Elephas maximus indicus: one gene and its partners. The protein of the gene in region 1 purifies or fractionates together with the protein of each later gene. This does not show direct contact. Links are inferred from orthologs where the notes say so. Each region holds a gene or a part of one and is shown in the gene's direction. Other genes may lie near its edges.

What was found.
Region 2: the proteins of RAF1 (region 1) and CALU purify together in Homo sapiens (affinity purification with mass spectrometry; 3 studies listed by BioGRID and IntAct, with this or other methods). This does not show direct contact. The link is inferred for Elephas maximus indicus from reciprocal best matches to the Homo sapiens genes RAF1 and CALU.
Region 3: the proteins of RAF1 (region 1) and AKAP8L purify together in Homo sapiens (affinity purification with mass spectrometry; 3 studies listed by BioGRID and IntAct, with this or other methods). This does not show direct contact. The link is inferred for Elephas maximus indicus from reciprocal best matches to the Homo sapiens genes RAF1 and AKAP8L.
Region 4: the proteins of RAF1 (region 1) and EMD purify together in Homo sapiens (affinity purification with mass spectrometry; 3 studies listed by BioGRID and IntAct, with this or other methods). This does not show direct contact. The link is inferred for Elephas maximus indicus from reciprocal best matches to the Homo sapiens genes RAF1 and EMD.

What each region holds. Positions count from the first base shown.
Region 1 is NC_064838.1:37,863,426-37,870,888, reverse strand, and holds the start of RAF1 (RAF proto-oncogene serine/threonine-protein kinase), read left to right. Parts: upstream 1-4,452; 5' UTR 4,453-4,860; intron 4,861-7,463. UniProt on the Homo sapiens protein: Serine/threonine-protein kinase that acts as a regulatory link between the membrane-associated Ras GTPases and the MAPK/ERK cascade, and this critical regulatory link functions as a switch determining cell fate decisions including proliferation, differentiation, apoptosis, survival and oncogenic transformation.
Region 2 is NC_064826.1:21,326,238-21,333,892, reverse strand, and holds the start of CALU (calumenin), read left to right. Parts: upstream 1-4,647; 5' UTR 4,648-4,756; intron 4,757-4,773; exon of another isoform or gene 4,774-5,658; intron 5,659-7,655. UniProt on the Homo sapiens protein: Involved in regulation of vitamin K-dependent carboxylation of multiple N-terminal glutamate residues. Seems to inhibit gamma-carboxylase GGCX. Binds 7 calcium ions with a low affinity.
Region 3 is NC_064821.1:35,594,059-35,601,317, reverse strand, and holds the start of AKAP8L (A-kinase anchor protein 8-like), read left to right. Parts: upstream 1-4,244; 5' UTR 4,245-4,350; coding exon 4,351-4,363; intron 4,364-7,259. UniProt on the Homo sapiens protein: Could play a role in constitutive transport element (CTE)-mediated gene expression by association with DHX9. Increases CTE-dependent nuclear unspliced mRNA export.
Region 4 is NC_064846.1:2,095,827-2,103,031, forward strand, and holds EMD (emerin), read left to right. Parts: upstream 1-4,335; 5' UTR 4,336-4,572; coding exon 4,573-4,654; intron 4,655-4,764; coding exon 4,765-4,872; intron 4,873-5,016; coding exon 5,017-5,094; intron 5,095-5,301; coding exon 5,302-5,435; intron 5,436-5,885; coding exon 5,886-5,932; intron 5,933-6,036; coding exon 6,037-6,358; 3' UTR 6,359-6,698; downstream 6,699-7,205. UniProt on the Homo sapiens protein: Stabilizes and promotes the formation of a nuclear actin cortical network. Stimulates actin polymerization in vitro by binding and stabilizing the pointed end of growing filaments. Inhibits beta-catenin activity by preventing its accumulation in the nucleus.

The sequences.
Region 1 (7,463 bases):
TTTCACTCTGTTTTACTTCTTAATTCTTTTTTTCTTTGTTCATTCAACACTGTTTCTTGGACATCTTTCCTTATCAGTATATAGAGAGGGTCTTAGAGTTGCAGGATGTTCACATGTTTAGATTGTAAGCAGTGCAACAGAAAACAAAAAACAAAAATTCTACATACGTCATCACAATTACACAATGTATCTGTAGGATAAATTCCCAGAAAAAGAATTGCTGGAATTTTGATATTACCAAACTGATTTTCAATTTATATGCTTATAAGTAATTCATGAGAGAATCCAGGTCTTAATTTTTAACTGGTTTCCAAGATAACTGCACTTGGCTTTCCTGCATATGAGCCCACATATTTTGGTTGCCTCTCAGCAGGTCTCCGCTCCCACCATTACATTGCTGCCCTTTTATGGCTTGGGGGGGATTGGCCCTGGGCCAGACAGCTCCACTTCACCATTCTCTCCCTGCTGTCTCTCCCAGGGAGGCAACGCCTAACCTGACAGAACTGCTGGCCTGTTTCTCAAACATATGATGCTACATCACACCTCTGAGCTTTTGCCCATACTGTTCCCACCTCCTGTTCTCCCTTCTCAGTCTGGAAAATTCTGATGTGCTCCTTAAGACTCAGCTTAAATGTTGCCTCTGTGGAGGCTTCCGTGTCCCTCCCTGGCGGAGCCAGTCCCTCCCTCCCACAGAACCCCTGACAGCCCTCTACTAAGGCACATCGGTATCACCTGGCAGGGTAACTACTGTTTGTTTACATGGCTCCATCTTGCCCAGCACCAGCCCAGGCTAGGCCCACACCTCAAACTCATCTGTGACTAAAATTAAACTGACCCGAGAGGCAGGGTGGCATGGAAATGCCAGGCGTGGGAGTCAGGCTGGATTGGACTTCCTCCTCTCCTGGTCCCCTGCCTCCCTCACCTCTTCCCTGCTGCCTGTGTTCTGACCATGATGGCCTGCACATTCCCACTTCGTGACCTTTGCAGGAGCTGTTCCAACCACCTGGAAGGCTCTTCCTTTAGCTCTTTCTCATCTTCCAGTTCTCAGCTTAACTATCACGCATCAGAGAGGCCTTCCTTGACCCCTTCCCATTCTATTACTCTCAAGTTATTCCCTTCATCGATTCTCTGCAATCCTGATTATAATGCTGACTTATTGGTTTACTTGTTTGCTACTTGTCTTCTTGGTGAGAACTTACCAAGAAGGTCAGGGACTTCAGCTTGTTCACAAGCCCAGGGCTAACACAGGGCCTGGCATATATCAGGCACAACAGAATTCTTTACGGACTGAATGAGGAATAAACAATGAGGTCCAAATCCCAGCTCTACCACTTACCAGCTATGTGTCCTCCTGAAGGTTTCCTCCTCTGAAAATCAGGCCTTTTAGGGCTGTGGTGTGTACCAGGAATTGTGTAAAATGCCTGATATATGAAGATACCCCACAAATGGTAGCTGTCACCTGTTAAAATTTTCTCTCCTTCAGTGACAAGTGTACCCTTTCTGCCAGGCTTAAAGACCTTACTCTCCATCTTTCACAATCTTTTTTTTTTTTTTTTTATTGAGGTGTAACAAATATAGAGAAAAATAGAAATATCTTAAGTGTATAACATGACCAATTTTCACCAGGACAAGAAGTAGAACATTCCAACATCCAGGGAAGTTCACATGTTCCCCTTCCCCCATCACTCTCCTGCCAGCTGTGACCCCTCACATTCCTTCCCTCCTCTGTTTATCTGAGATCTTGGGGCATCCATTCTTCTTTCAAACCATTACTGACTCCTTCCTTCCTCCCATTTCTCTTTGGAGCCCCCCACACCAGGCCAACTTCTGTCATTTACATCACTGCCTGGTCCCTGTGGTAACTTGAGTTAGCAATCCCTGTTACCAGAACACTGGGATTACTCAAGAGGAGAAGAGAGTAAGTGGCAACCTGCAGACAGCTGGGGTAAAGGTACACTCTGTAGCTTGCTGAACTGCCAGGGCTGAGAGGAATCAACACCAGGTGGGCAGGGGGCAAAGAGGAGGGAGGTAGAGAGTGAGGAGGTAGGTGGTGGGGGAGCTGGAGTCACTCTTCTCCATGACAGGGGTTGGGAGGTCCCTGAGAGCCCACTGAAGTCCGATACGATTTTATCTCTGGACAAACCTTCAAATCATGGTGGTGATAAGGGCTTCAAACCCGGGCTGGGCTAGGAGTAAGACGAAGCTATCTGTGTCTGTGTGTTAGGTGACCTGGCTTAAGCGATTGAATTTTTGTGTCTCCATTCCCTCACCTAAAAAACATAGGCCAGCTATGAGGTCTGAATGCGGCACAGGATCTTCAAGCTTTCTAAACTGTAAAGCGCTGGGCACATACCAGCTGGCGGGGGGGGGGGGGCGCGCGGGGAGGCCACTGAAGGAAGAAATGGCCTGGGGTTAGCAAGTGTAGCCTGGCTGCTCTGTCTCAAGTAATAATACGGATGATGAGGATGATATGATAAGAGATAGCTGTAACAATTACAGCTAACACTTCTAGAATGCTTACTGCCTGCCAGGCACTGTTCCAAGTGTTTTACATCTTAAACTCACTCAATCCTGACAACTCTAAGAGGTGGGTACTATCACCTTTTCTTTACAGACGAGGAAACTGAGGAACTGAGAGGTTAAAGTGACTTGCCCAAGTCACATTAGGAAGTGGCAGAGTCCAAATTTGAACCTAAGCAGTCTGGGTCCACATGAAGTCTCAACCCCCAGGCTCTGTGCTAAGTGCTCTAGTGTTTTATCTCATTTAATCCTACGAGGTGGGTATTATGGTTATATTCCCATTAAAAAAAAAAAAAATTCCTCTTCACTCTCCTGCATATGTTATGCCTTCAGACTTTTCCCTGCATTTATTTTTATGTAGGTCCATATACTCCTGTTATCATCTCATCTCGCTGCATTTTTCTTTACAGAGCACGTATTAGAACCTGAATTTATTTACACTTTGTGTGTGTCCCATCACTAGGCGACAGGTATTTTGATTATTGTTGATTTCCCAATACCCAGAACAGTGTGTGCTACACAATTTAAATAATGAATGTAGCTAATGGTACTAAGTAGCTTTGTGGCTCGTGTTGCATAAATACTGTACATACTCCAATTTTTGAAAAACTGCCTTGGAGGATTTTTTTTTAATAGGTACAGCCTTAACGCCCGCCCCCCCCAAAACAACAAAAAACTTTGCAGTCAAGTTGATTCTGACTCACTACAGAGTAGAGCTGCCCCATAGGGTTTTCAAGGGTGTAATCATTGTTTTTATTAGGTGCCGGTGGAGTCCGTTCCAACTCATAGCGACCCTATCATCTTCACAGGGGCAGATCTTCAGGACTTCTCCAGCCAAACTGCTAGTGGGTTGGAACTGCCCAGCGCCACCAAGGCTCCTTGTAAATACATAGACTTAGCTCATAGTTTTTAACAGATGGGTGACATTCCATACTGTGGATGTGGCGCTGTTTATTTAACCAGTGTTCTATTTAATTAAACCACATTTTCCCAATGTTTTTCTAACCCAAAACCAAAAAGCCAAAACCGTTGCCTAGGAGATAGGGACCTCACAGGACAGAGAACTGCCCCAAAGGGTTTCCAAGGAGCCGCTGGTGGATTCGAACTGCTGACTTTTTGGTTAGCAATAAACGTCCTTGCACATTTCTTTTTGTGCATTATGAGTACATATTTGTACGGAAGTGGAATTGCTGGAAAGGTATATACATTTAAAAATGTGAATAAACGCCCAACCAAATCCGCTGCCACGTCCAGTCCATTCCGACTCATAGCTACCCTATAGAACAAAGTAGAACGGCCCAATAAGGTTTCCAAGGAGCGGCTGGTGGATTCGAACTGCCAACCTTTGGTCAGCAGCCGAGCTCTTAACCACTGCGCCCCCAGGGTTAAAAAAAAAAAAAAAAAACAAGTTGGTAACGTCAAATTGCCGTCCGGTATGTATTCGTGCCAGCGCTGTTAGGGTACACGGCAGGTTTTTATATATCTTGGACCAAACTGGCTATTACCAGTCTTTAAATTTTTTGTCAATCTGATGGGAGGCGGGGGATGAACCCCCAATTTATAGATGAAGAGGGTCTCAGAAAGAGTGGCTTTCCCACACAACCCGTGAGTGGCAAAGTCGTAACTCGGCGTCGGAGGTGTTCGACTACGGAGAGGACGCGCCAAAGCTGGTCACTGTCCTCCGTGCTGTGCATCCTGGGGGACGTCTGGTCACGCCAGGCTGCCAGGAGCTCCCCCGGCCCTCAGACCCGGCCCTCAGACCCGGCCCCGCCTGGCCGCCGCCGCCTAGCCGATAACCCCCCCAAGCCCTCTTCGCAGCCTCCTCAGCTCCGAAATGGCGACCGCCAGGAGCGCGAGGCTACGGCCCTCCCCTAGGAGGCGGGCCCGAGTTCAGACCAGAACGACAGATGCCCGAACCAAGCTCGTAGTCGGCTGCCAGGCGGGCTCGCGCAGAAGCAGAGCCGGTGGCGCAGCAGGCCGGGAGGAGGAGCACCGAGCGCAGGGTTCGCTCGCCGGGGCCGCCCGAGAGTGTCTTCATTGCGGGCGCTGGGGCCGCCATCTTAGATGGCGGGAGTAAGACGAGAGCGAGCGTGAGGCGGGAAGGCTTCCCTGCGGTTTTCCCTGGGCCCCGCAGCGGGCCAGTTGGCGAGGCTTTGGGGTGTGTATCCTAAGGCGCAGAGCGCGAGTGGGACGATGCGGGGACTGCCCGGGGCCCCGTCCCCGGGGTTGGGGACGCGTCGAATGTGACCGCCTCCCGCTCCCTCACTCTCCGCGGGGAGGAGGAGCGGACTGGACGCCGCCGCCGGACGACGGAACGCGGGGTCGGCCTGGCTCCTTCAGGTAGGCGGCGGCGCCGGGTACTGGAAGCCGGGGGAGCGGGGCGGCGGGGCCGAGGGACCGGGTTCCCTGGCGGTTGGGCCTGGGCGGCGCTGACGGAGCGGCCCCGCGGCTGCCCGGGCGGAGGGCCTGGGCCAGGCCGCTGTCACCCCGGGTGGCGCTGGGCGGCAGGGGTGCCCGGGGCCGGGTGTCATGGCCGGCGACCCAAGTTCCCATATCCCCACTCAGATTTCCTTGTGTTTCGGGGAAACGTGCCAGCGCCACCCCTGTGCCCAGTGCACATTCCTCATATTTTGGCAGTGGGAGAATCCGCCCAGAGCTGCCCCGTATCGGTGTTGTCACCCGGATGAGCTAATTCCTTTTTCTTTTCTGGTCGCGGGGTGGGTACCCGGGCCTGCACCTTCTCTCGGGGTCCTTCACCCCAATGTCACTCTTTTAGGGAGGATGAAAGGAATTGAGAAGAAAGGATATGGGTCAGTGCCCCATCACAAAGGCATAGGGGCCTCGCCTTGGGTTTCAGGACTCTGTGGGTTCCTAATGAAAGGTTTAGGATGCTTAGGCTGAGCATGGGCCCCGGGATGCTTCGGAATGAAGATCCAGGGCTGTCTTTTGTGTGAAATAAGAGCCGCTGCCGGGACGCTTCAGCCTTGCAACTGCACAGGCTCTGCAGAGCTAGCTAGTCGGTGCCCCGAGAGAGGAGTTAGGATCCCGAGAGGCGAGGCGCTTGTGTTCGTTCGTTGTTCATTTTCCAGGGTCTGGGTGTGCCCATGGTATTCATTCTCTAGTGGGAAGAATGATGGGGTCTCATATTGTCTCCTTGAGATGTGACCGGGTTCGAGGAGGTCACTTAATCTAGGTAGGGAATGAATTCACACGTTCGCGGAGCTTTTCTGCCTGCCTAGCCCTGTGCAGGGTGAGTGGGGAGAAACGGCCCTCCGTGCGCTCCCAAGACGTGAGAACAACGCCATATGATAAGGATTGGCTTGCCGAGTGCTGTGGGAACTTAGAACACCTAGTTTTACCTAGGGGACCTAAGGAGGAGTGTACGCCAGAGGGGACTTTTGCGCCGAGTTTTGAAGGACTGATGAGTAAGTGCTCACTAGGTGAGGAGGAGGGGAAGGGCATTCCTAGCGGAGAGAACTCCTGATAGGAAAGGAGGCATGCAGGAATTGGGATGAGTTTGGGGAGCAAGCAAATAGTTTGGGGTGCAGGGAAATAGTGAGAGAAGAGAGTCCAGAAGAAAAGTTGCTAGATTGTTAAGGGTCTTTCTTTGTTTGAACACAGTGGTGAATTAGTTGGTTTAATTTGGATTCTTCTGAATAAAAAATAGGTGTTGCTAATTTTTTATTCTTACTGATACCTAATCATTTTTCTCCTCTTTTTTTTTGAACGTTTTATTGTGTTTTAGGTGAAAGTTTACATAGCAAATTAGTGTTCCATTCAACAGTTCACAAATTGTTCCGTCGCATTGGTTGCTACCCCTGCAACGTATCAGCACTTTCTCCATTTCCACTCTGCCTTCCCTGTTTGCCTCTGTCCACTTTCCCTGCCCCTCCTTGCCTTCTCAGCTTTGTTTTTTGGGCAGATGTTGCTCATATAGTTGATTGTTCTAAGGAACACGTTCCTCACAGGTGTTGCTGTTTATTTTATAGGCCAATTTATTATTGGGCTGAAAAGTGACCTCTGGGAGTGGCTTCATTTCCAGGTTAAAAGGGTGTCTTAGGGCGATAGTCAGGGGGTTCCTCCAGTCCCTGTCAGTCTAGTAAGTCTTTTTTTTTTTTTTTATGAATTTGGATTTTGTTCTACATTTTCTCCAACTCTAACCGGGTTCTCCTATTGTGTCCCTGGTCAGAGTGTTTGGTAGTGGTAACCGGCACCATCTAATTCTTCTAGTTTTAGGCTAGAGGAGACTGGTTTGTGTGGGCCATTAGTCCTGTGGACTCATTGCTTCCTTGAGTCTTTGGTTTCCTTCACCCTCCTTTGCTCCACACAGGAAGAGACCAGTAGTTGTGTCCTTAGACAGCCGCTCAAAATCCTTTAAGACCCCAGATGCTACTTACCAAACTAGGATTTAGAACATTATTTTTATGGACTATGTTATGCCAATTGATCTAGATGTCCCCTGAGACTGTGGTCCTTAGCCTCCAAACCCAGTAACTCAGTCCCATGAGGTGTTTGGGTATGTCTAAGAAGTTTCCATAACTGTGTCCCATATATGTATGCTCTATTATATATATATGAGTATATATGCAGAACATACAAATATGTATATACAAATGCCCACAACTATACCTATATATGCACTTGCATATACTCGTATACGGCCACCTGTACCTATATAGCATACATGTCTACCTATGCAACCAAAAAAAAAAAAAAAACCCAGTGCCATTGATTCGATTCCAACTCATAGCGACCCATAGGACAGAGTAGAACTGTCTCCTAGAGTTTCCGAGGAGCGCCTAGTGGATTCAAACTGCTCACCAATTCGGTTAGCAGCCGTAGCACTTAACCATTCTGCCACCAGGGTTTCCTACCTATGTAACCACTCGCAAATTTTTGGTTGTTATTACTGTTGCAGAGTTTCGTTACAGCATTTACCTGGG
Region 2 (7,655 bases), on another chromosome or scaffold:
GAGTGCTTTAACCACTGTGCTACCAGGGCTCCCCCCATACCTTGCTTAAAATAAAACAAAAAACCAAACCCATTGCCACTGAGTTGATTCCCACTCACAGCGACCCTAAAGGACAGAATAGAACTGCCCCATAGGGTTTCCAACGAGGGGCTAGTGGATTTGAACTGCCAACTTTTTGGTTTGCAGCCAAGGTGTTAACCACTGCTCCTAGACCAGGGAAAGATTGATAACAAGGACCTTCCCCCAGAACTGACAGAGAGAGAGCCTTCCCCTAGAGCTGGCGCCCTGAATTTGGACTTCTAACCTCCTAAACTGTGAGAGAATAAACTTCTGTTTGTTAAAACCATCCACTTGCAATATTTCTGTTATAGCAGCACTAGATAACTAAAATACATGGCTTCCAGGTTGCCACAAAAAAGGAAAGAGCTTGGAAAATTGTGTGTGGCATCTCATATGGCCAAGGCTGGAAGCAGTATTTGTTCTGCCCTCCTTCCTTTGGCCAGAGCTCAGTCACATGGCCACACCTAACTGCAAGGGAGGCTGGGAAATGTAGTCTAGCTGTGTGTCCCGGAGGAAGAAGAAAAAGGTAAGTCTCCCTCATACCATCTCACTCATAGTAAAATCCAAAATTCTTAAAATGGCCTAAAGGCACTCCACTGATACCAGTATCTTCCCCTGATACTACCTCCCTGACCTCATGTCCTCTACTCTTCTCCGTTACTGCACTCCAGCCACCTGGCTTCCTGCTGTTCCTCAAGCACCCCAAGCAGGCGCCCAGCTCAGGCCTTTGCCCTTCCTGTTCCCTTTTCCTGAAATGTTATTCACCATCTTCAGATGTTCATGCACGTGTCGCCTTCTTCATGAGCCTTCCCCGGCCACTCTTTCTCAAAATGTCAACACCGCTGTTGAATTCCCGACACTCCCTGCTCTCTTTCCTTGCCTTATTTCACCCCTTTGCACCTATAACCACTTCTCATTCTATATATTTTGCTTTTTTATAATAGACTTTATGTTTAGAGCAGTTTTAGATTTAGAGAAAAATTATACAGAAAGGATAAGTGTTCCCAAATATCCCCTCCTCCTGCAGAGCTTCTCCTCTTAACATCCTGCATTCCTGCGGTACATTTGTTACAACTGATGAATAGATAGGGATACATTATCATTAACTAAAGTTTGTAGCTTACATTAGGGTTTATTTTGTGTTGTGTGGTTCTATGAGTTTTCACAAAGGCGTAATACTCGCTGTCACAGTAACATGCAGAATTGTCTCCCAAACCCAGTGCCGTCGAGTCGACTCTGACTCATAGGGTCGCTATGAGTCGGAATCGAATGAGACTATGAGAATTGTCTCACTGCCCTAAAAATCCCCTATGCTCCACCTGTTCATCCCTCCCCACCACAAGCCCCTGGAAAACATTGTTTTTTTTTTTTTTTGTTAAGAACATAGTAAGCAAAACATACACCAATTCAACTGTTTCTACATATAAAATTCAGTGACAATCTTCGAGCTGTACAACCTTTCACCCTCCCTTTCTGAGTTGTTCCTCCCTCATTAACGTAAACTCACTGCTCCCTAAGATTCCTATCTGATCTTTCAAGTTGCTGTTGTCACTTTGATTCCATACAGATAGATCTTGAAAGAGGATAATGCTCACGATAGACATTTTTCATTAGTTAAATTAGACTATTGTTTGGAAACCATTGATCTTTTCACGCTACAGTTTTGCCTTTTCCAAAATGTCATACAGTTGAAATCATACAATACGTACCTTTTTCAGACTGGTTTATTCCACTCAGCAATATATTTTAATGTTTTATCTTCTTTATTGGCTGTCTCTGCTATCCCTACAACCAGAATACAAGCACCACGAGACAGTTTTATCCATTTTGTTCACTGCTGTATCCTCAGTGCCTAGAAATTTCTGGCACATAGGAAATGCGCAACGCACTCATTTGTGGCGTGAATGTTCAGTAGCACCATATGAGCAGAGTTGGGACACTTGAAGAAGAACATCAGCCTTTTGAGACTGCCACCGTCATACCTGCCACCAACAGTCCCTTCGTGCTTCCCTCAGAGACAGAAGCCAGGGCCAGGTAAGCCTTGGGTGCAGCCCAATGGTGGTATTTCTTATGTGTGTCACCCCTCAAGTCCTGTTCCCCCTCCGCCTGCCTTCTAACTCTGGGGCTCCTATGAAGCCTAATCTGATTTTCTCTTCTCAGAATGCTCATCTGATCTCAGGGTTCCATCAGCTGCCCCCTGACCAATGACCCCCCTCCTAAGTTCCAGAATACCCTCCAGCCTATTGGCTCTTTCTCTGTAGATGCTCTGCCATCACCCTAGTCTTAACTCATCATTTCCCTCATCTTCCAATCATCCGGCTCATTCTCCCAGTATCCCAGGATTAAAACTTTTAGTTTTCGAGTGCTCTCTCTTCATTTCTTCATCCAAGCAGTCACTAAGTCCAGGACTTATTTTCACTTTTAAAAATCATCTTGCATACAACTGTTTATTTGCACGTCCCTTGCCCTGCCGGAGTCAGGCCCTTATCCACACAGAATCTCAGGGTTGGAGGGCCCCATCTCTGACAAAATCCTATTTCCTCATCCAGCCTCTATCAGGATCCTTCCAGGATGAGTGGCCCTCCCACTAGGCTGCAGTTCCTTGAGGGCAGAGACCACGTCCTCTTCATTGTGAGTTCAACAACACCTAGCACAGCGCCTGACTTCAAGAAGACATTTGTTGAAATAATACTTCCTGAAACAGCCTGTTCCTACAGTTAATCCCTATTAGGAGATGTGCCTGCCTGAAAGAACCACTTTCAATCTCATCCCACCTCCCACATAGACACGAGCTTAGAAACCTTCAGAGGAAGATCCAGGATTCCCCCTGCCTTCAGTTCAGGCTCCTTAGAGTGATTGTCCATTCCCTATGGAGACCTACCTCCTGTGCTTTCCCTTCCCAGACCCTTTCTCTCACCTCCCTCATGCCCTATCCCACCTGAGAATTTACTTACCACCTGCCCCCTGCTTGCCCTTGTTCCTATTATTCCTCTTTCTGCACATTCCATTTGGGATTTTCTTAGTCCAGCCTGAGTCACATCTTCTTATGAAGCCCCAAGCCCTGTCTGGCTACCACTGAGGTTTACAGTCACTCCTTTGTATGAATTCCTGTAGCATTAGTTGTCAACCTCTCATCTTGGCACTCAAAAGTAAACTTTTTTTTTTTTACGTGAACTAACTTGCTTTGTATTTAATTCTTTCATAAGCATACAACTTGTCTCCTCAACTGAAATTTAAACTCTGTGCTTTATGTGCTAAGAACACAGATTTATATTTCATTTGTGTTGTGAATATTACCTCATTATAACTATTTGTTTTCATTTCATGAAATGAAAATGAACGAATAAGTGAATAATTTCCAGTGTTTCTCTTTAATTAGGGGCATGCAACCTTCTGGGTTCCACCCACTCAGTTCACTTGACATTATTGAGCATTTACCTTGAACTGGGCAGTAAGCTCAGAGCCATGGATACAAAGACGAATAAAGTAGATCTCCATTCCGGAACTTAGTCTAGAGGGAGACGAATGTATAAGCAGTGTTTATAACAAAATTTGGCAAGGTGCACTGAAAATAGGAGCCCTGGTGGCACGCAGTTCGTCCAGCTTCTCTCTGGAACCCCCCCAGTTCTACTCTGTCCTGTAGGGTCGCTATGAGTCAGGATCCACTGGATAGCAATGGGTTTTTTTTTGTTTTTTAACTGAAGATAGAAATACAAAGTGGTATGGCGGCAAATAAAACCCCCCAAAACCAAACCCACTCTATTATCCCTTGGGTGTCAAGAAAGGATACCTGTAGTTAAAGCATCAGCTACTAGCTAAAAGGTCGGGGGTTCTAACCCATCAGCCGCTACAAAGGGCCTTGGAAACCCTGTGAGGCAGTTCTACTCTGTCCGACCGGGTTCTATGAGTCAAAATCAGCTCCATGGGCACGGTTTTGTTTGTTTTGTTTTAAAGTGGATCAGGAAAGCTTTCTGAAGCTACCATCCGAACACGTTGTATGCTGCTGGATTTCTTAAGGCAGAGAACCGGGAAAACGCACTTATTTAAGCGAAGGAAGCGGCTTGATGGATAAAGACCAGCGACACATGACCGAGCAGGCTGTTACGGAACGCGAGATGATGGTGGCCAGAGCGCGAGATATGAGAGGGAGAGCGGTAGGGATAAAGCGGAAAGAGACTAGAACCAGTAGTGCTGGAAAAAGAGAAACTGGGATCTTCGAGACGGTTGGGGGCTGATGCGATCGGACGACTAGCGCCTTGAGTGCTTCGAGCAGGCAGATAACGAGACGGTAATCCGAGAAGCCCCGTGGAGGCCCAGTCAGGCGCTGTCAGTGGGGACGTGGCGGCTGGACGACCGCGCCCACACGCCACCGGAGCAGCGGATAGGCCCTGCCACCCTACAGGCCCCGGGACCAGAGTTGGGCGGGAATCCCGTCCACGCAGCCCGGCGCGCTCCCGGGGACGTGGCGCTTCCCAGCCAATCCCGGCTACGCGATTGTGCGACCAATGGCTGCCCGGAGAAGCTCTGCGTCAGCGGCGAGTCTGTTGTTGATTAGCCGGGAGGCCGCCGGCGAGGCGGATGGGGGCGGGGCGTGGAGTCACTTCCGGTCGGGCTGTGCTTGCGCGCGTGAGCCGAGCCGGCGGGTGAACTGCGGCCACTGCAGCGGGGCGGCGGGAGCCGGGGAGCGGTGAGAACGGTGAGCTCAGCCCCTGCGCCGCCTCCGCGGCCGTTTTAGCTTTCCTTGTGTCTCCGGGCCTCGCTCCTGGCGGGCCGGGGCGTCCCCGTTTCGGGGCTTGTGTTTCTGGTAGCGTAGGGGCGCCGGGCCCTGGGCGAGCAGCCCAGTTTGGAGGCCGCCCTCGCCTTCCCGCGCGCTCTGGGCAGAGGGCCGGGTCCTGTCCAGCGTCGGCTCCCGGCTTTGCGTCCGGCAGGGCCGTTTTATGCCTGGCTGGCCTCGACCTCCGCCCCTGGGCCCCGCCACTCCCCGAGTCCCTCGGACTAGAGCGTCACTCTTGTCTGCCTCGGGAAGGTCGGAGGGCATTCGGGTGCTGTGAGTCTACACAGCTCCCTGCACCTCCCGCTCAGGGGCCTGCTTGCGTCCGCCAGCCCCTCCCCAAGCCCACATCTCCAGAGGAGGGTGCATCTGCCAAGAAAGTCGTGATTGCCGACTTTAAGGGTGTAGAAACGAGAGAAAAAAGAACGAATGAAGACGCTATGTGATATGCCAAGAAATTTCTCTATCATTTCAAAGAAAAGCCGAACGTTTTGAGTTTTCACGTTTTGGCTGCAGAGAAAACATGCAATAGAAAATTGTTTTAAAACTGTATTTGGGTAAAAAACCTTTTACTTTGTTTTTGTGGCTTTTAACCCCAGACCCTAGCTCTGACTTTTGGCAGGTTGTGTTCAGAAGTAAACTTAATTCTCTACAGCGGGCATGGTTAAAGTGATTTGCATCAAGGCGAAAGCACCCTGGATCTCCTGCTAAAACTTTGAGCCTTTGGTCTGAATGCTGTGTGTCTAAAGTCGGAGAATAGTGTCTTTGTGAATTGAATTGCCTTCATTTCCTAACATGGACCCCAAAATCAACGAGAAACAGTAAAGGTCGGTCCTAATTTGTTTTTGTTCTAATAGTTCATTCAGCTTGTAGCTGGAGGACCTTGAAATCTCTGGTAAATTATTCTTTGCCATACTTGACACAAAACAAATGCATGTTTGACCTGATTTTGTTAATCAACTACTGGACGATAACCATTGCTGAAGAATTTATGCTATATAGACCAAGTGCGGGTCCACAGACAACCCTTGAATTGTATTGGTGTCTGGAGAGGATGAGTTTGCCCAGGCCTATCGAATTAATCGCTAGGCTGCGAACTGAAAGGTTTGAATCCACCCAGCGGCTCTTCTGGAGAAGGACCTGGCTATCTGCTCTCATAAAAATTACAGCCTAGAACCCTGTAGGGGCAGTTCTGCTCTGTCATGTGGGGTCGATATGAGTCGAAATTGATTTGAAGGCACGTGACAACAATCTCAGGTTTTACGGATTCAGGGATCTCTAATAGGGTTCTTCTGAGAATCACAGCTGGGGCTCTGAGATGGGGAGAAGCATGAGGTCACGAAGAGGTATTGCGAATGCCTGAATGGATGGTACTAAATAGCTTTGAAACCAACTCCTTATCACTCTGAGGGTAATCATCGTTTGCCTCCGTTCATCCAAGGGTGTTTCAAGAGAACTACTGATGGCACTCTATATACATTGCACTACTTTAGGAGATCAGTACGTTGGCATTAACACAGATTTCCTGTAACGTGGGTGTGCCAGGGGTGTTGGACAGAATTGAAGATGCTTCCTAGATCCTCTCTGTGTGAACTCTTAAATATGGTTGTTGTTGATGCTGTAGTTTTTGTTTTAGAGTCTAAACAGCTGAAATAACACTTTTGCCTATTGCTGGCTGGTAGCCAGATCCGGTGAGAGGAATTGGGGGTGGGGAGCAGAGGCAGGCAGGAACCACATTGCTGCCAAGTACTGTTCAGTCAATCCAGTAAAATATATTGGTCTCTAAAAAGTGTAAGACACTGTATTAGGGACTGTCCTGTTAAAAACCTGTTGCTGTCGAGTTGATTCCAGCTCTTAGTGACCCCATAGGACAAGTAGAACTGCCCCATAGGGTTTCCAAGGAGTAGTTGGTGGATTCGAACTGCTGACCTTTTGGTTAGCAGCCTTGCTCTTAACCACTTCACCACCAGGGCTGCAGAGGGATATTAATTTACCTTAGCTGAGATCTCTGCTTTCCAAAAATGTAGAACTATAAGGGAGCAAAGGAGACTACTTAAAGCAGCCTATAATCATTATAAGAAGCCCTCGTGGTGCAGTGATTAAAGTGCTGGGGTGCTAACCAATAGGTCGGCAGAGTGAACCCACCAGCCATTCCTTGGAAGAAAAATGTGGCAGTGCGCTTCCATAAAGATCACAGCCTGGGAAACTCTATGGGGCAGTTCTACTCTGTCCTATCGGGTTGCTATGAATCGGAATCAACTAAATGGCAGTGGGTTTGGTTGGGGTCATTGTTATGGAGTGGTACAAACAAGTTTTTTAAAAGTTTAGAGGGATAGTTAGAGATTACTTCCAGCTGGAGTGATCGTAGTAGATAGGTCTTTTCACCGAGGAGCTTAAAATTATTTTTAGACATTTGGCACTGAAGAGAGGTTGAGCTAAAATGACACCAAATTTTCAAGGACATCATGCATGTTGCACACACACAGCAAAATTACGACTAGAAACCAAAGCTCTTGTCCCTTCATTTTGCAGTCTTCCCATAGTAATTAATTATGTATTATATTTCATCATCCGAAAGGATTTTGGTCCCTGAATTTCTAGAACATTTTTCCTATCAGAAAGGTTTTTCACTTCGTAGCCTGAAAAATGTAAAGTTTGTACTGGGTTGCTAATGAAGCCTGAGTAATAATATCAGTCACCCAAAGCCTTTTTTCTGCTTTAAATGTTGCACTTTTATGTATTCAGCTGTCTTGTCACAAAATAGTTTAATTAGGATGTATAGATACAAAACCAAAAAACCAAACCCATTGCCGTCAAGTGAGTT
Region 3 (7,259 bases), on another chromosome or scaffold:
TCCAGTGGCAACCTTTTGGTTATCGATGTACCTAGAAGTCTGTAAATTAGATTAAATTTCTCTTCTGGAAACACACCGGGGCAGGCAGCCAGCGTGCGTGTTTCTCTTGGGTGGACAGGCTGGCTTTGGCTGCCAGCCAGGGCTGGGATTGGCCTGGGCTTCCTACTGACCACCAAGCCAACCAGGCCCAGTTGGGGACGAGCCGAGTTGCCCAGCTGGCAGCCCTCAACACCCTGGGTAGTGGGAGTCTCTGGCTGGCTGGGGGGTGACTCATGTGAGCAGAGGAGATGCTACCCAGGGCTCCAGGAGGCTGGTCTGTGCAGGGAGCCAGGGCTGGGAAGCAACTGAGGCTGGGAGGGCTTTCTAAGGGCAGGAGCTGTCCAGCAAGGGAGTGGGGGCCTATGGAGGGAGGGAGGAGCAGGAAGCAGCCAGAAGCATTCCATGGGGGGCCAGCAGGAAGGACCTGACCTGGAGACAGGTGACTTCTCTGAAGATACATGCATCCTGAGCCCTGGTGACATGAGGGAAAGAAAGGGGAGCACTGACTCCCTTGCGATGTTATTTACATGCTTGTGCTGCAGATGTTTGTTGAACATTTCTGAGATTTCAAGAGACCTCGTTAGCTGCTCCTTGTTGATCACATGCTGTTTTTAACCTCACCACTGTCGCTAAGTCCCTGGATGTTGCCGATGGTTTGTGCTGAACTCGAAACCTAAAGGTTGGTTCAAACCCACCAATCAGTGCCACGGAAGAAATGCCTGGAGATCTGTTACCACTAAGATTACAGCCAAGAAAACCCTATGGAGCAGTTCTCTGTAACATTTGGACTCACCGTGAGTCAGAATTGACTCCACATCAACCAACAACAATCCCTCCTACAGTCAGCTATTGGAGATGTCTGTTGTTGGCTACCTTCAAGTCACCCATGACTCCTGGGAACCCCATGCACAAAGAAATGAAGCACTGCCTGGTCCTGCAGCACTTCCATGATGGGTTGCAGTTTGGATCATGGTGATCCACAGGGTTTTCAATGGCTGATTTCCTAAAGTTGATTGCCAGGCCTTTATTCCTAGTCTGTCTTAGGAAGCTCTGCTGAAATCTGTTCAGTATCATAGCAACACGCAAGCCTCCACTGATGGATGCTTGGTGGCTGCGTATGAGGTGCATTGGTCAGGAATCCAACCCGGGTCTCCTGCGTGGAAGGTGAGGAGTCTACCATTGATCCACCAATCCCCTGGAGATGGCTGACTGCAGTGTTACCTGTTTGTGTCCTGCCTGACTCTACTGGATTTTTTTATTCGAAAGAGCTGAATACAGTCCTTGCCATAGAGGGATCTTTTCCTAAAACATTTCTGAACACATCCCTTCTCTGCTTAAGCAATACTATTCTCTCTCTCAATGGTCTATGAGGGCCGTGGGTGTTAAATCAATAACAGATGGGGTGAAATGAGGGCCGGGGCAGCCAGTGCTGTGAGTGACGCTCTAGGACCCAGGAGAGGTGCTCTAAGCCTTAGTTTTGGAGACCAGGTAAGCATCCCTTAGGGGTGACACGGAGGGGAACCCCAAAGCTGGAGTACACGTCAGTCAGAGTGTTGTGTGCTGCTTCTGTGGTTTCTCACTTAACGCATCAAAACCTTGCCCCACATGGCCGCAAGTCCTGTCTGCCTAAGCCCCAATTTGAGGGGAGGATTTTTTTTTTTTGTCAAAATATTACAAAACATGCCATCTCGACCATTTCTACGTGTTATACTGATTGCATTCTGCAAGTTGTGCCAGTGTTCTTGCTATGCTTTTCCAAATCACTCCACCACCATGAACATAAACCCAATGTCCCCTAAGCAAAAATTCTCCCTTTGTCCCTTCCCCTGGTAACCAATAATAATCTTCGGTTTCTATATATTTTTTATGTAAGTGAGATCACACAGTATTTTTCCTTTTGCAACTGATTTAGCATGATGTTTTCAAGGCTCATCATCTATGTTGTGGCGTGCATCAGGACTTCTGTATGGCTGAGTAATATTCCATTGTGTGTGTACACCGCATTGTGTTAATCCATTTAACTGTCGATGGACATTTGGGTTGTTTCCACCTTTTGGCTGTTGTGAAAAGTGCTGCGATGAACATTGGTGTATGGGGAGTTGCTTTTTTAAAAAGATTTTATCATGGAGAATTCCAGTCATACAAAAGTAGCGAGAACAGTAAAATAAATCTGCATCTACTCATCGATTTTCAACTCATGACCAATCTCTTCAGCTATATCCCCTCCCTCCCCAACCCTGTTCCCCTTCTCTGTCCCCTCCTTTCCCCCCTGAATTATGGTGGAGCACATCCTGACCACCAGATCAATTAATTTGCTAATGTGAGTGTTTCAGTATGTTTCTTTAAGGTATATGGATTCCAAAACAATGCCATTATTACAGTTAAAAGTCCCTGGGTGGTGCAGACAGCGAGCAAACTCAGCTGCTAACAGAAAGGTTGAATGTTCAAGGCCACCCAGCGGGTTCCTCAGAAGAAAAGCCTTCTGAAAAGTCAGCCATTGGAAACACTGTGGAGCACATTTATACTCTGACACACATGGGGCTGCCGTGAGTCAGAGATGACAGTAACTGATTTTTTATTACACCTAAAAAATTGATGACAATCCTTAACTTCAAAAAGTAGGTCGGCAACAGGACACTTTAAAAAAAAAAAAAAAAAAACGTTTTAAGTGAAGCACAGCAAAAAGCATACAGGTCCTAACTCTACAGCTGGATGCATTTTCACAAACACACACACACACACTACGTGTTTGCCTTCTTGTCTGTCAAATTGACTCTTAGAAATTATTAGATGTCCCTGGCAGTGGTTTCAACACTTTCAGAGAGAGTGTTGAGGACAAGGCAGGCACCTGGCTGCACTATTGCAGAATCACTAAAGTCCAGAGTGAACCATGAGGGCTTTAGAGGCAAAGTTCCACCTTTAACAGTCAAGTATCAAGGGCCTTGAGCAAGGCATGAATTCTAAGATCCAGTTTTCTTATCTTTTAAATGGGGAATAAAAATAGCTCCTGGAGGGTTTGGAGGGAGTAGATGAGATGATGAACAATACAATTAATGTTTATTACATATAATATGCATGTGTACTATGTTATAGTGGTTGTAGTTGCCCTTGAGCCGATTCCGACTCGTGGTGACCCCATGTGTGTATGGCGACCCCACGTGTGCGGAGTAGAACTACTCCATAGAATTTCCAAGGCCGTGACCTTTCAGAAGCAGATCGCCAGTCCTGTCTTCTGAGGTGCCTCTGGGTGAGTTTGAACAATCAATCTTTCGGCTAGTAAACCAAAACAAACCAAGCTCATTGCCTTGGAGTCGATTCCAACTCAGAGCGACCCTATAGGACAGAGTAGAACTGCCCCATATGGCTTCCTAGGAGCAGCTGGTGGGTCTGAATTCGAACTACCCACTTTTTGGTTAGCAGCCGGGTTCTTAACCATTGCCCCACCAGGGCCCCTTTAGATCAGTAGTGGAGCTTAAGCGCTGTTTGTGCCCCCCAGGGACTCTATATATACTGTGTAACTATACAAATAAGTAAAGATTAATTACAAAATGCAACATTTGATGCACCAGGCCTTGTACTGATTTTATTGCCGTTTTTCAAGTGTACGATTTAGTGACATCAATTACATTAATCATGTTGTACAACGTGAACTGATTTCTTTATACATGATCACATTTAACGTTTGATCGTGGATCCAGCGCCGTGGCTGGCGCTTAGTCGTAATTTTTCCCATTCCTGCACGGCTTCACCATGTTCATTCCTGAGCTGAAGTTCAGATACCCAGGTTTGCACATCATATACGGTCGCTATGAGTCATAATTGACTCACTGGCAACGGTTTTTTTTTTTTTTTTAATGGGTGGCAGAGCAAGGGACCTGAGCTGTTCCTGCACGGGAACCCCGGCTCCCTCTGGCGGGCCTCTAGGGCACAATCGCGCGTCCTGCTCGGCCAAGCTTGGGCCTTCGGCCTTTCCGTAGCCAACAGCTTCGCCCCCGTCGAGCCCCACAGGAACCTACCTCTACCCCTGCCACCCCATCTAGACCAATCACCGCAGGGGTAGAACGACGGAGGGGCGGGAGTAGGGCGGGGCTCTCTGGATTGGCCTCATCTTCAGCCCCTGGCAGGACGACACTCCGAGATAGACAGGGCGATTCTCCAATAGATGTGAAGTCCGAAGCAGGCGCACACCAATGCGGTCCGGAGGCGGGGCTCGGCTGTGGGTAAAAGGGGCTCGGGGGACTGTGGCCACTATCGCGGCGTCGGGCTCGCGGAGCAGCTGTCGAGGAGCCGGGCGTAGTGTTCGCCGGCGCCATGAGCTACACAGGTACATCCCTGCGGGGCGGCGCCGGGCCCCAGATGGGAGCGGCAGGGGAATGTGGCGGGGCCACGCCGGGTTCTCCCGTGCTTCCCCGGCCAGGTCACTGTCCGTTCTGCGGCCACAAAATGGCGCCGCGAGTCCGTCGCCTCAGGTCGCGCCCGGTACGCCTCGGCCCCTTGGTTCTCTGTGCTCCCAGCCTCGCGTCCCGGGCACTGGCCGCCTGAGGCCACGGCTCCTGCAGTCATGTCCGGGGGCCCCCGGTCCTCGGCTCCTGAGGTTCCTCTCCCACCAGCCCCAGCCGCCTCGGCGCCTTAGGTCGCCGCTTCTCAGGCCTCGGGCCTTAAAACCAGTGAGCAGTCCCGTCCGCTGTCGCCATTGTCGGGCTCTCCTCCGCGTTGTATCCCCGCAAAATGCCTCAGCGCACCGCCCCCCCACCCCCCATTGCGTGTTTAGGGGCTGGGAGAGGTGCCAGGCCCTGGAGGAAAAAATGAATACCTGAAAGGTTTGAGCTGGGACGGAGCCCTCGGGCCGGGCCAAAGCCTTGTGGGGGAGGAAGGGTTGGCTGCCACAACGATATATTCAGCATCTGTTAAATTTGCTGTGTTTGTGCTTAATACTCGTTGCTTTCGAGTAGATGCCGACTTATGGCGACCCCATGTGTTTCAATAGAATTGCTCCATAGGCTTTTCAGTGGATGTGTGACCTTTCAGAAGCAGATTACCAGGCCTTTCTTTCAAGGCGCCTCTGGGTAGGTTTGAACCACCAACATTTTTGGTTAGTTAGAGAAGGGCTTAACCGTTTGGGCCACTCAGGTTGTTCCAAAGAACAAAAAACAGTTGTTGAGTGTACCCTGACACGTGGTGACCTCATTCACGTGTACAGAGTAGAACTGCTTCATGGGGTTTTTAATGGCTAATTTTTCAGAAACAGATCGCCAGGACTTTCTTCTGATGTGCCTCTGGGTGGACTTGAGCAGCCAGCCTTTTGGCTAATAGTCGATTGTTTACTCATTTCCATCACTTGGAAATCTATTGGTGTCACATAGGCACTGAGAATGTGGACAAAAATCTACCCAGCAGCTGATAGGCGAGGGGCAGATCTCAGTAGGCGAAACTATTCATCTGGGGGAGGACAGTCCATGGGAAGGCTAGAGACATTTGTGGAGAGGTGATATGTGGAGAGGGGGCATGAGACTGTCTGGCCCAGGGAGCTGTTGGTGGAGAAGCACGGGCAGAAGTGTGCTCGGCGTGTTTGATGCTCAGCCAAGGAACCAGTGGCATTGGAACAAAGAAGGGGGTGGGTGAGACTCTCTGCAGGGGGCCACAGGATATGCTTGAGTGATTGCAAAACTCTAGGTGATGCCCAGAGGCCTCTTGAGTGTGCCTTGGCAGCGACAGATGCAGCTTCTTACCCAGGAGCCGTAGATGGGGGTGTCAAAAGCTTGAGTGTGCGTGGTTGCTGGGTAACCTGCATTCTACTCAGCAAGAGCAGAGCTGAGAAGGGGCCCGGGCCTCCAGAGCGCCACTGCAGGCTGCTTCATGCTGACCTAGGCAGAAAGGCTGATGGTTTGAGTCCACCTAGAGGTTCCTCAGAAGAAAGTCCTGGTGGTCTGCTTCCAAAACACCAGCCGTTGAGAGCTCTGTGGAGACAGTTATACTCTGACACACATGGGGTCGCTATGAACAGGGGTTGACTCCATAGCAACTGGTTGGGCAAAAAGGCAGTGCCAGTCCTTCCGCTGTGGCTCCCAGATCAGGAGTTTGGCAAGATCCCTAATTTTTCTAGCAACCGTCCCCTAGTCCAGTAGTTCTCAACCAGGGGTGCTACTGCCCCTGGGGACATTTTGCAATGTCTGGATACATTTTTGAGTGTCACCACTGGGGGTGGATACTCTACTGGCATCTAGTGGGTAGGGGCCAGAAGAAGAAAAAAAAAAAAAAAAACTAGTTGCTATCAAGTTTACTCTGACCCAGGGTGACCCCTTGTGTGTCAGAGTAGATCTGTATTCCATAATGTTTTCAATGGCTGATGCTACAGAAGTAGGTCGCCAGGTTTTTCTTCTGGGTAGATTTGAACCGCCAATCTTTCAGTTAGTAGCTGAGCACTTAACTGTTTGTACCACCCGGGGATAGCCAGGAATGCTACTAAATGTCCAGCACTACATAGGACAGCTTCCCATGGCAATGCCAGTAGAGTCGAGCATTTCTTGTCGCTTATAATTCTCTTGACCAAGTTTTCCTGAGAACGGAAGCCAGTTCTGTGGTTTTTACGGGCAGGATTGCTGAAGAAACCCAAGATGAGTGGTTAGGTGCTGTGGAGTAGCTACTTATTTTTATAGGAGAGGGATCTTGGCTATAGAGGGCCAGCAATTTCTGACTGAGGTCTTATTGCCACTAATGACCAAGCCTGAATTTCATCTCCACATCTCATAGGCTGTAATTCTAGCTTTGGGTGGGCACTTGGGTACTAAAACCAAAAACCCATTGCCGTTGAGTCCATTCCGACTCGTAGTGACCCCATAGGACAGAGTACTAAGGAAAAAATGATTAGTTTTTCCTTGATTTTGGCAAACTAAAAGCCATGGTAGCTTTATAATGTCTTTCCCTTTTAAGAAGCAGACTACAAAAGTCAAAGGCATTTTAAAGTCATGTTCCAGACAATATTTGCCTTTAAGGATAACTTTTGGCGGCCCTGAGGCAAATGTTACCATTATTAAGCATAGACGATGATTCAAATTTATCTTTGTGTTAACTCTTGCTTTTTGAACTCAGTTACTTTGTTTATGTTTGGTGCACTAAGCAAGGGGCACAGTGGGTACATCCCACCTTCACTGCTAACTGCTTAGTAAGGGCCAGCATGAATTCAATTCCCAAAGCTTAGAAATGGATCCAGTCCTCACCTT
Region 4 (7,205 bases), on another chromosome or scaffold:
CTTCCTCAGAAAAGGAGAAAGGAAGGGAGGAAGGGAGAAAAGAAGGGAGGGAGGAAGGAAGGAAGGGAGAAATGGGGAAGGAAGGAGGAAGGTCGGAAAGAAAAAAGGGAGGAAGGGGGAAGGAGGGAAAGAAGTGAGGAAGGAAGGAGGGGAGGAAGGAAAGGGGAAAGATAGGAAGGAAGGGAGAAAATGGGGAAGGAGGAAAGGAAGGATAGAAGGAAAGAAGGAAGGGAGGATAGAAGGAAAAAAGGATGGCAGGAAGAGGGGAAGAAACGGACAACAGGGAGGGAGGGTGTAAGGAACGAAATAGTTCAGGCACCACCTGCTGAATTAAGTTGCTGATTTACAGTTTGGGAAGCACTGATAAAGAGGCACTGATGGCCCTACTGGTCTTGCTGTCTTGGCTAGCTCTGCTTTCAAAGACCTTTCACACCTTGACCCTTACTGGGTGCTTTCTAACAGTGCCAGGGGTTCCCTCTCCTCCTGCCCCCTCTGGTGGGAGCGCCCCCAGCTGGGGAGGGCAGTGGGTTATCTTCACATGATAGGTGAGGGACCTGGACTTGGAGATGGGAACTCACAGACCGAGGAGGGGGCTGTGCTGGGGCTCACAGCCAAGGCGGTCCGTGGTTCATCAAGGAGGGAAACCACATGCCTTTCTGCAGCTGCGCTCCAAGCCAGGGGTACAATAGGTGGAGGGAGCACTAAGGAGGCAGTGGTTTCTTAGCAGTGTTCGGGACTGCCACCTCCGTGTGAAATCAACTACTGCCCCTCTCCCCCACCACACACACAAAACACATGCAGCAGCTCTGTCTCTTCTTTCAGGTCTGGGCGGAATAAATGTTTGTACAGCACCAGGTGTCCTTCGGTTGAAGATACAGGGAAACTACCAAAGTCAGCTGCATTCCTCCCACCAGTCATCCCAACAGTACCAAGATAAACTGACCTGTTCCAAGGTTGGAACACAACACTTTCCTTGAGAGACCTTTAGTCAACTAACCAGTGTTTTAATATTGGTTGTGACAGTGTTCAACATATCAATTGTCTCGCAACTTTTGTAACCATTGGAGCAATGTTTCAAAACATTTGAAAACTAGTTAAAACCCAAAGGAGCTTTAATACCCTTGAAGAGAAAAGTGTCTTTTAGCACTAAAAAAAAATCCTTATCTTAAAGAGAAACTTAGTAGCTCAGTGATCAATGGTTTGCTTGTACATGGATGCTGAGAAATGTATTTATGGTGATATATTTTTCTCCATTTTAACTTCTGATCTTGCTGGGATTCCAAGTTGTACAATCCACTGTTTAGAAGCCATTCTCCATCCTTAAAGGAGAGACTCATTTTTCTTATTCTTGCCTTAGAATCGCGGCTTCCACAGCCCATTACCCCCGCTGCACTGGCTGCTTTTTGTGACCTCTGTCTGCAATCCCTTTTCCAATTGTCCACCAGAGAAATTTGTCTTTTTCAAGGCTCAGTTCCAGTGTCTCCTTTGCCTGTCCTTCCCAGGACCAGCTCCTGGGAACAGTTTTCCCTCCTTGAGAGCTCTGAGGCTGGGCCGTGGAGCACCAGATGCTGGCTGAAGAAATGTTTCATGAATGAACTATTGGACTCGAGGTTCCGGACCCCACTCTATGTGATGGAGGTGCAGAGGGCATCCTAGCTCGGATGGTCAAGGCCTGACCTAGTGTCTGGTGGTCTGGGATGGAGCTGCACGGCCATGGGTGACCATCCACAGTTCAGCTTCCTGGTGCCCTCTGTGGCGGGACCTCATAGTGAGGACAAAAGGGGGGGGGACATAGGAGGCAGAGTGCTGAGGCAGGTGCAAGGGGGTGGTGTTCCCTGGGGAGAAGGCAAACCTAGAATTCCTTGACCTCATAAGGAAACAGCTTGCATCAGTATGGGGAGGGGTGGCACGGGGGAAGACTGAGCAGGCTGTAAGGGAAGCCAGAACCAGCATCTCTGGGAGAGGGGCCAGCATTGCAGAAAGGCTGAGAGGGGCTGGGATCTGATCTTGCCAAAACTCAAGATTCCACGAGGCTGCCTTTGCCCAGCTCACAGCCCAAACGGCCACCTCCTCCCCTGCCCAGCCCATGGCTCTCCCCTCTGTATAGGGCAATGTAGTGTCTTCAGGGACTCCAATGCTACTTGTCACAGTTGAGACAGAGCAGGGCCCCACCTTGATTCTAAAACTTGGGCAACAGCAACTCTTCGGAAGGGTCTTTGTCTTTGGTCAAACCATGGTCTCTCCTCTGGCCACTCCCCACGTGTATACCTCTTCCCCACCCTGAGCAAACCTCCCTGGAGAGCTGGTCTGCGGCCCGCACCAGCTGACCAGAGCCCCCTCTCTTTTCTTCTCCCCCCCACATGAGACTTGGGGCTAGCTCCTCTCATCCACTCCAGGGAGAGCCCACCAGGCAGCCCCACACTCCATGAGACTGGCTTTGTCTGAGCATGACTACCACCTCTTTCCTGCTCTCCAAGAGACAGCACTTTTCCTACCAAAGCCTTGCCTCCTCCTAGCCATACTCCACCTTACATCCACTGCCTGCCCTGGTTTGCTCCGCTCAGCCCCCATGTTTGCCCTGGCCTCTGTCTCCTTTGGCCACTCCTGCAGTGCCTGCATGTGAAAGCTGGACAGTGAATAAGGAAGACTGAAGAAGAGTTGACGCCTTTGAATTGTGGTGTTGGCGAAGAATATCGAATATACCATGGACTGCCAAAAGAACGAACAAATCTGTCTTGGAAGAAGTGCAGCCTAAATGGTCCTCAGAGGCAAGGATGGTGAGACTGCGTCTTACATACTTTGGACATGTCAGGAGGGATGAGTCCCTGGAGAAAGACATCATGCTTGGCAATGTACAGGGTCAGCGGAAAAGAGGAAGACCCTCAACGAGGTGGATTGACACAGTGGCTGCAACAATGAGCTCAAGCATAACAACGATTTTAAGGATGGTGCAGGACCAGGCAGTGTTTTGTTCTGTTGTGAATAGGGTCGCTATGGGTCGGAACCGACTCGACGGCACCTAACAACAACAACAGCAGTGCCACAGTACCCAAAGCCGCTCACACCCCAGTGCTCACAGCCTGCCAAGTCTTCTTTGAGGCTCCCCTCCCCCAGCAGGCCCCTCTGGTTCTGGAAGGCTACCCCCATCCCTCCTGGGGGGCACTCAGCTCAGGGGTCATTCCACCAGGAGAGCAAACCTCCCCCTCCTCCCCGTCTGGTCCCCCAGGTGGGTGGTGTGGTGCGGTGGGCTGGCTCACTGTCCCCACTCGCATCACGCCTTGTCCTTTGCCAGCGCTCATTGGCACTCCTGGCCCCTTACAAGGCTGGCTGGGAATTCCTGGAGCGCCTGCCGCTGCCCTCCTGGTCCAGTGCCCCATTTCCTCCTCAGGCGGGCGGGAAGGCAGGGAGAGGGTGGTGGGCAGCGGGCAGCACAGGTGCAGAGGCCAGGGGCCGGCAGACTCGCCAGGCCAGCGGGGACAGGGGCCTGGGAGGTGGCTGGCCTGTGGGCTGGGCCGCCGACCAGCCGTGACTCCCTCGTGTTCTCCACGCAGAGGGCTTGAAGAGAGCCTGGCCCTTACTGAGCACCCAGGCCCTGAAACCGGGAAGGGGTGCAGGGATCCGGGCGGGGGATCCAGGCGTCTCGGCCCCACGTGACTCGGGGGGTGCACCTCTTCCCGGACGCCCCGGCCCCGCCCCGCCCCGCCCCCACATCTCGGCCGGTTTCTGCCGGTTCGGCTTGCCCGCAGGGCCCGCCCCTCTACATCTAGTCAGAGCAAGGCAGCGCGTAACGTGTTTGTTCACCAGCCCCGCCCCTCTCCGGGCGCTCAGCCGCCCCGCTATAGGCCCTGGGGGCTTTTCAGCTGGGTGGCTTGTGTACAGGCTCCGCCCTTCTGTCACGTCTAGACCGACACCGAATACGCCAGCATATAACGTCGTCGTTCGCCAGCGCCGCCCGGCTCGCACCGCCCGGAGGATTTCCGCCGGTTAGGCTCGCTCACTAGGCCCCGCCCCTCCCTATGCCGTAGCCCGAACACGCCGGCGTCCGACTTCCTTGCTCGCTAGCCCCGCCCCTTTCCGGGGCGCGCAGCCCTTCCCCGTTCCCACTTCCAGACGTGTCTGAGCTGCTTCGGCAGACTCTCAGGTCCCGCCCCTCTGCCACCTCTAGCCCTATCCCGCTCCTTTTTGGCGTTATTGTTCACCAGCCCCGCCCCGCTCCGCAACCAAGTCCCGCCCGGTTCTGCCGCTTTGACTGGCGTGCGGGCCCCGCCCCCTCCTGCCTCTGGCCCAATCGCGCGCGTTTGTGACGTCTTGGTTCACCAGCCCAGCCCCGCGCCGCCTAGCTCCACGTCCAGACCGGTCTGCGCCGGCTGCGCTCTGGCGGCCTGTTCTCCCGCCGCGCGCGCATTCTCGGCGCCGGCGGTGCCCGCGGCCGTGACGTGATCGCGCGGCCGCTGCTCAGGCGCCCTCGCAGCCTCCTCCCCCGCCGCGCCCCGAGGCAGCCTTTGCTCAGCGTCGCCGGGCCGGCCTGCCCTCAGGCCTTCGCCGCTGCTCGGGCTCCGTGCCGGCAGCGCCATGGACGACTACGCGGTTCTGTCGGACGCGGAGCTGGTCGCCATGCTACGCCAGTACAACATCCCGCACGGACCCGTCGTGGGTACGCGGAGCAGCGGCGCGGGCGGGCGGCCGGGCGGGCGGCCGGGCGGGCGGCCACCTTCCGCGGCCCCGCGGCCCTGATCCGCCGCCACGCGCTCTGTGTTTGGCCAGGCTCCACTCGCAAGCTCTATGAGAAGAAGATCTTCGAGTACGAGACCCAGAGGCGGAGACTTTCGCCCCCGAACTCGTCCGCCTCCTCGTTCTCCTATGGGTTCTCGGGTGAGGGCCCCTCCGGTCCACCACCGGAGACCAGGGCGGACGGGGTCGCGAGGGTGTGGCAGGGGCACCAAGCGGGAGGCACCTGGCAGAAGGGAGAGGAAGTCCAAGGGCAAACGGTCCCGTTTCCCTCTCTCGATCGCACAGATTTGGATTCAACATCTGAGGACTCGGATAAGTACGATCTGCCCAAGAAAGAGGATGCCTTACTATACCAGAGCAAGGGTAAGACAGGTAGAGGAGGGGCGGGCCGCCACCTAACTTCTCTGTCATAGAGCCTGGTTTCGGGGAGAACCTGAGACTTCGACCCCCACCGCCCCTCACCAGCCCTAGAGGGGAGGAGATACGGTTGTCATAGACACGAAATGGGAGCAGGTTAGGGGGAGACAGATGCAATGCCAGCTCTGCCACCACTGCACCCCTCTCCCCAAGGCTCTAATGATGACTACTATGAGGAGAGCTACTTGCACACCAGGACTTATGGGGAGCCTGAGTCAGTGGGCACATCCAAGAACTTTCGGGAGCCCATGGCTTCGCTCTCAGATGCTGAAAGTTTTCGCCGTCAGGTGAGCTGGCCATTAGGTACCCCAGGCACCTTTGATGCAGGTAGAAACTGAGGTGACCAGATCTGGGTTTCGATCAACCAGTTGGGACTCCTGGGTGGAAGTGGTGGCTCCTTGCAGGTTCCCAGGGGCTCACAGGCCTCCGGGGAGAAGTAGGCTACACAGTGCCCTACTTTGGGCAAGGGGATCCCGAAACTGGAGCACACTTTAGCCCATGGTGCACCCTGGCCTGGGATCTAGGTTGGAACTCTGAGAGTCCTGGGGGAGGAAGGAGGGTACTAGGGCTTAGACAGCCAGGACAGTCACTGAGCAAGTGGCAAGGCCCCTTGGACAAAAGGCCAGGAGTCTAGGAAGGGTCTGGAGGGACAGAGTGGGCTGGCTGGGGGAATTTGGACTTGGGTGACGGGGTCCTGCCAGCCTTGCCAGCCAGTCTCCTCCCCCTCTCTTCTTTAGATGCGTGAAGACAATCTTTTCACTTCCGAAGAGGAGGGCAAGGATAGGTAAGTCGTTGAGCGTGGCCTATACTGACAGATGGCCAGGGATAAGGGCTGGTTCTGGTCACCAGCTCTCCTGGCCTACCTGCCTGCTCCCTCTTTTGCCTCAGGGAATGTCCCTCGTATGCCAGGGACAGTGCCTACCAGAGCATCGCGTACTACCGCCCCATCTCGAGCATCTCCAGGGGTACCCTGGGCCAACCCTATTATCCTACCACCTCCTCCACCTCCTCCACCTCCTCATCTTCATATTCTCCACCTTCGTGGCTCGCCCGCCGTGCCATCCGGCCAGAAAAGCAGGTCCCGGGAGCCAGTCTGAGTCAGGACCGCCAGGTCCCTCTCTGGGGCCAGTTGCTCCTGTTCGTGGTCTTTGCTGCCTTCCTAGTCTTCGTTTACTATTCGATGCAGGCAGAGGATGGCAACCCCTTCTAGGTGGATCCCTGAGGGCCTGGCCTCTGAGCCAGCCCTTCTCAGAAGTTCTGGCTCCACTGCCATAGTGTTCTGCTGGGGGCGGGGGGTGGGGCTAACCTGTGTGTTCCAGCTGGGCTGGGCCTGGCCCAGATCAGTGCTTTGACCCCTGCCTCATCCTGCCAGGGAGGCAGCAGGCCTTCCCCCAGAGCCTGCTTCTCTCTGCCTTTAGGGCTCTGGGCAGGCACAACCCTGCTCCTTCAGAGAATACTGTCGTTGTCACCATGCATGCCTCCTGTTCAGCATAACCTTCAGGGTGAGGGATTAGCGGAAGGCAGCCTGACTTGGTTTTTTGTGAACACACAATAAAAAGACTTTATTTTTAACGTGTTGGCTCTTTCTCTTTTGGGAGCGGGTCTGGCAGGGCCTCCAGGATCTTGGTGTGAAGGGTCGCTATCAGATGTTGGGTTCTGACTTGGTCTTGGGGCTGGGCTCGAATGCCGCCCAGGAGTACCGTACGTGTGTGTTTCGTCCCCCGGCTCATTCCCTCACGCCTCTATACTTATCCAGCCCTCCCGCACAAGATGTGTGGAGCACCCTCCTGGAAGTGCAAAGCTGGATGCACAAGGCTAGCTGTGGGCGGTTTATCTGGGCAAAGCAGACGCCAGCTTAAATGCCAAGGGCAGGACACGGGTGTCTCGCTGGGAGACTATCTCCCAGTTACTGGGAATGACTTGAGGAAAGGCTTGCATACTCTGAGGTGCCTCTTCCTCCCTAGGCAACAGGCCGTCACTTCTCTAGATTCTTACACTAATCCCAGGTTTTCCCCCATGGGTGTGAGTTTCACAGTTTTCAAAGTTTACCAATATTT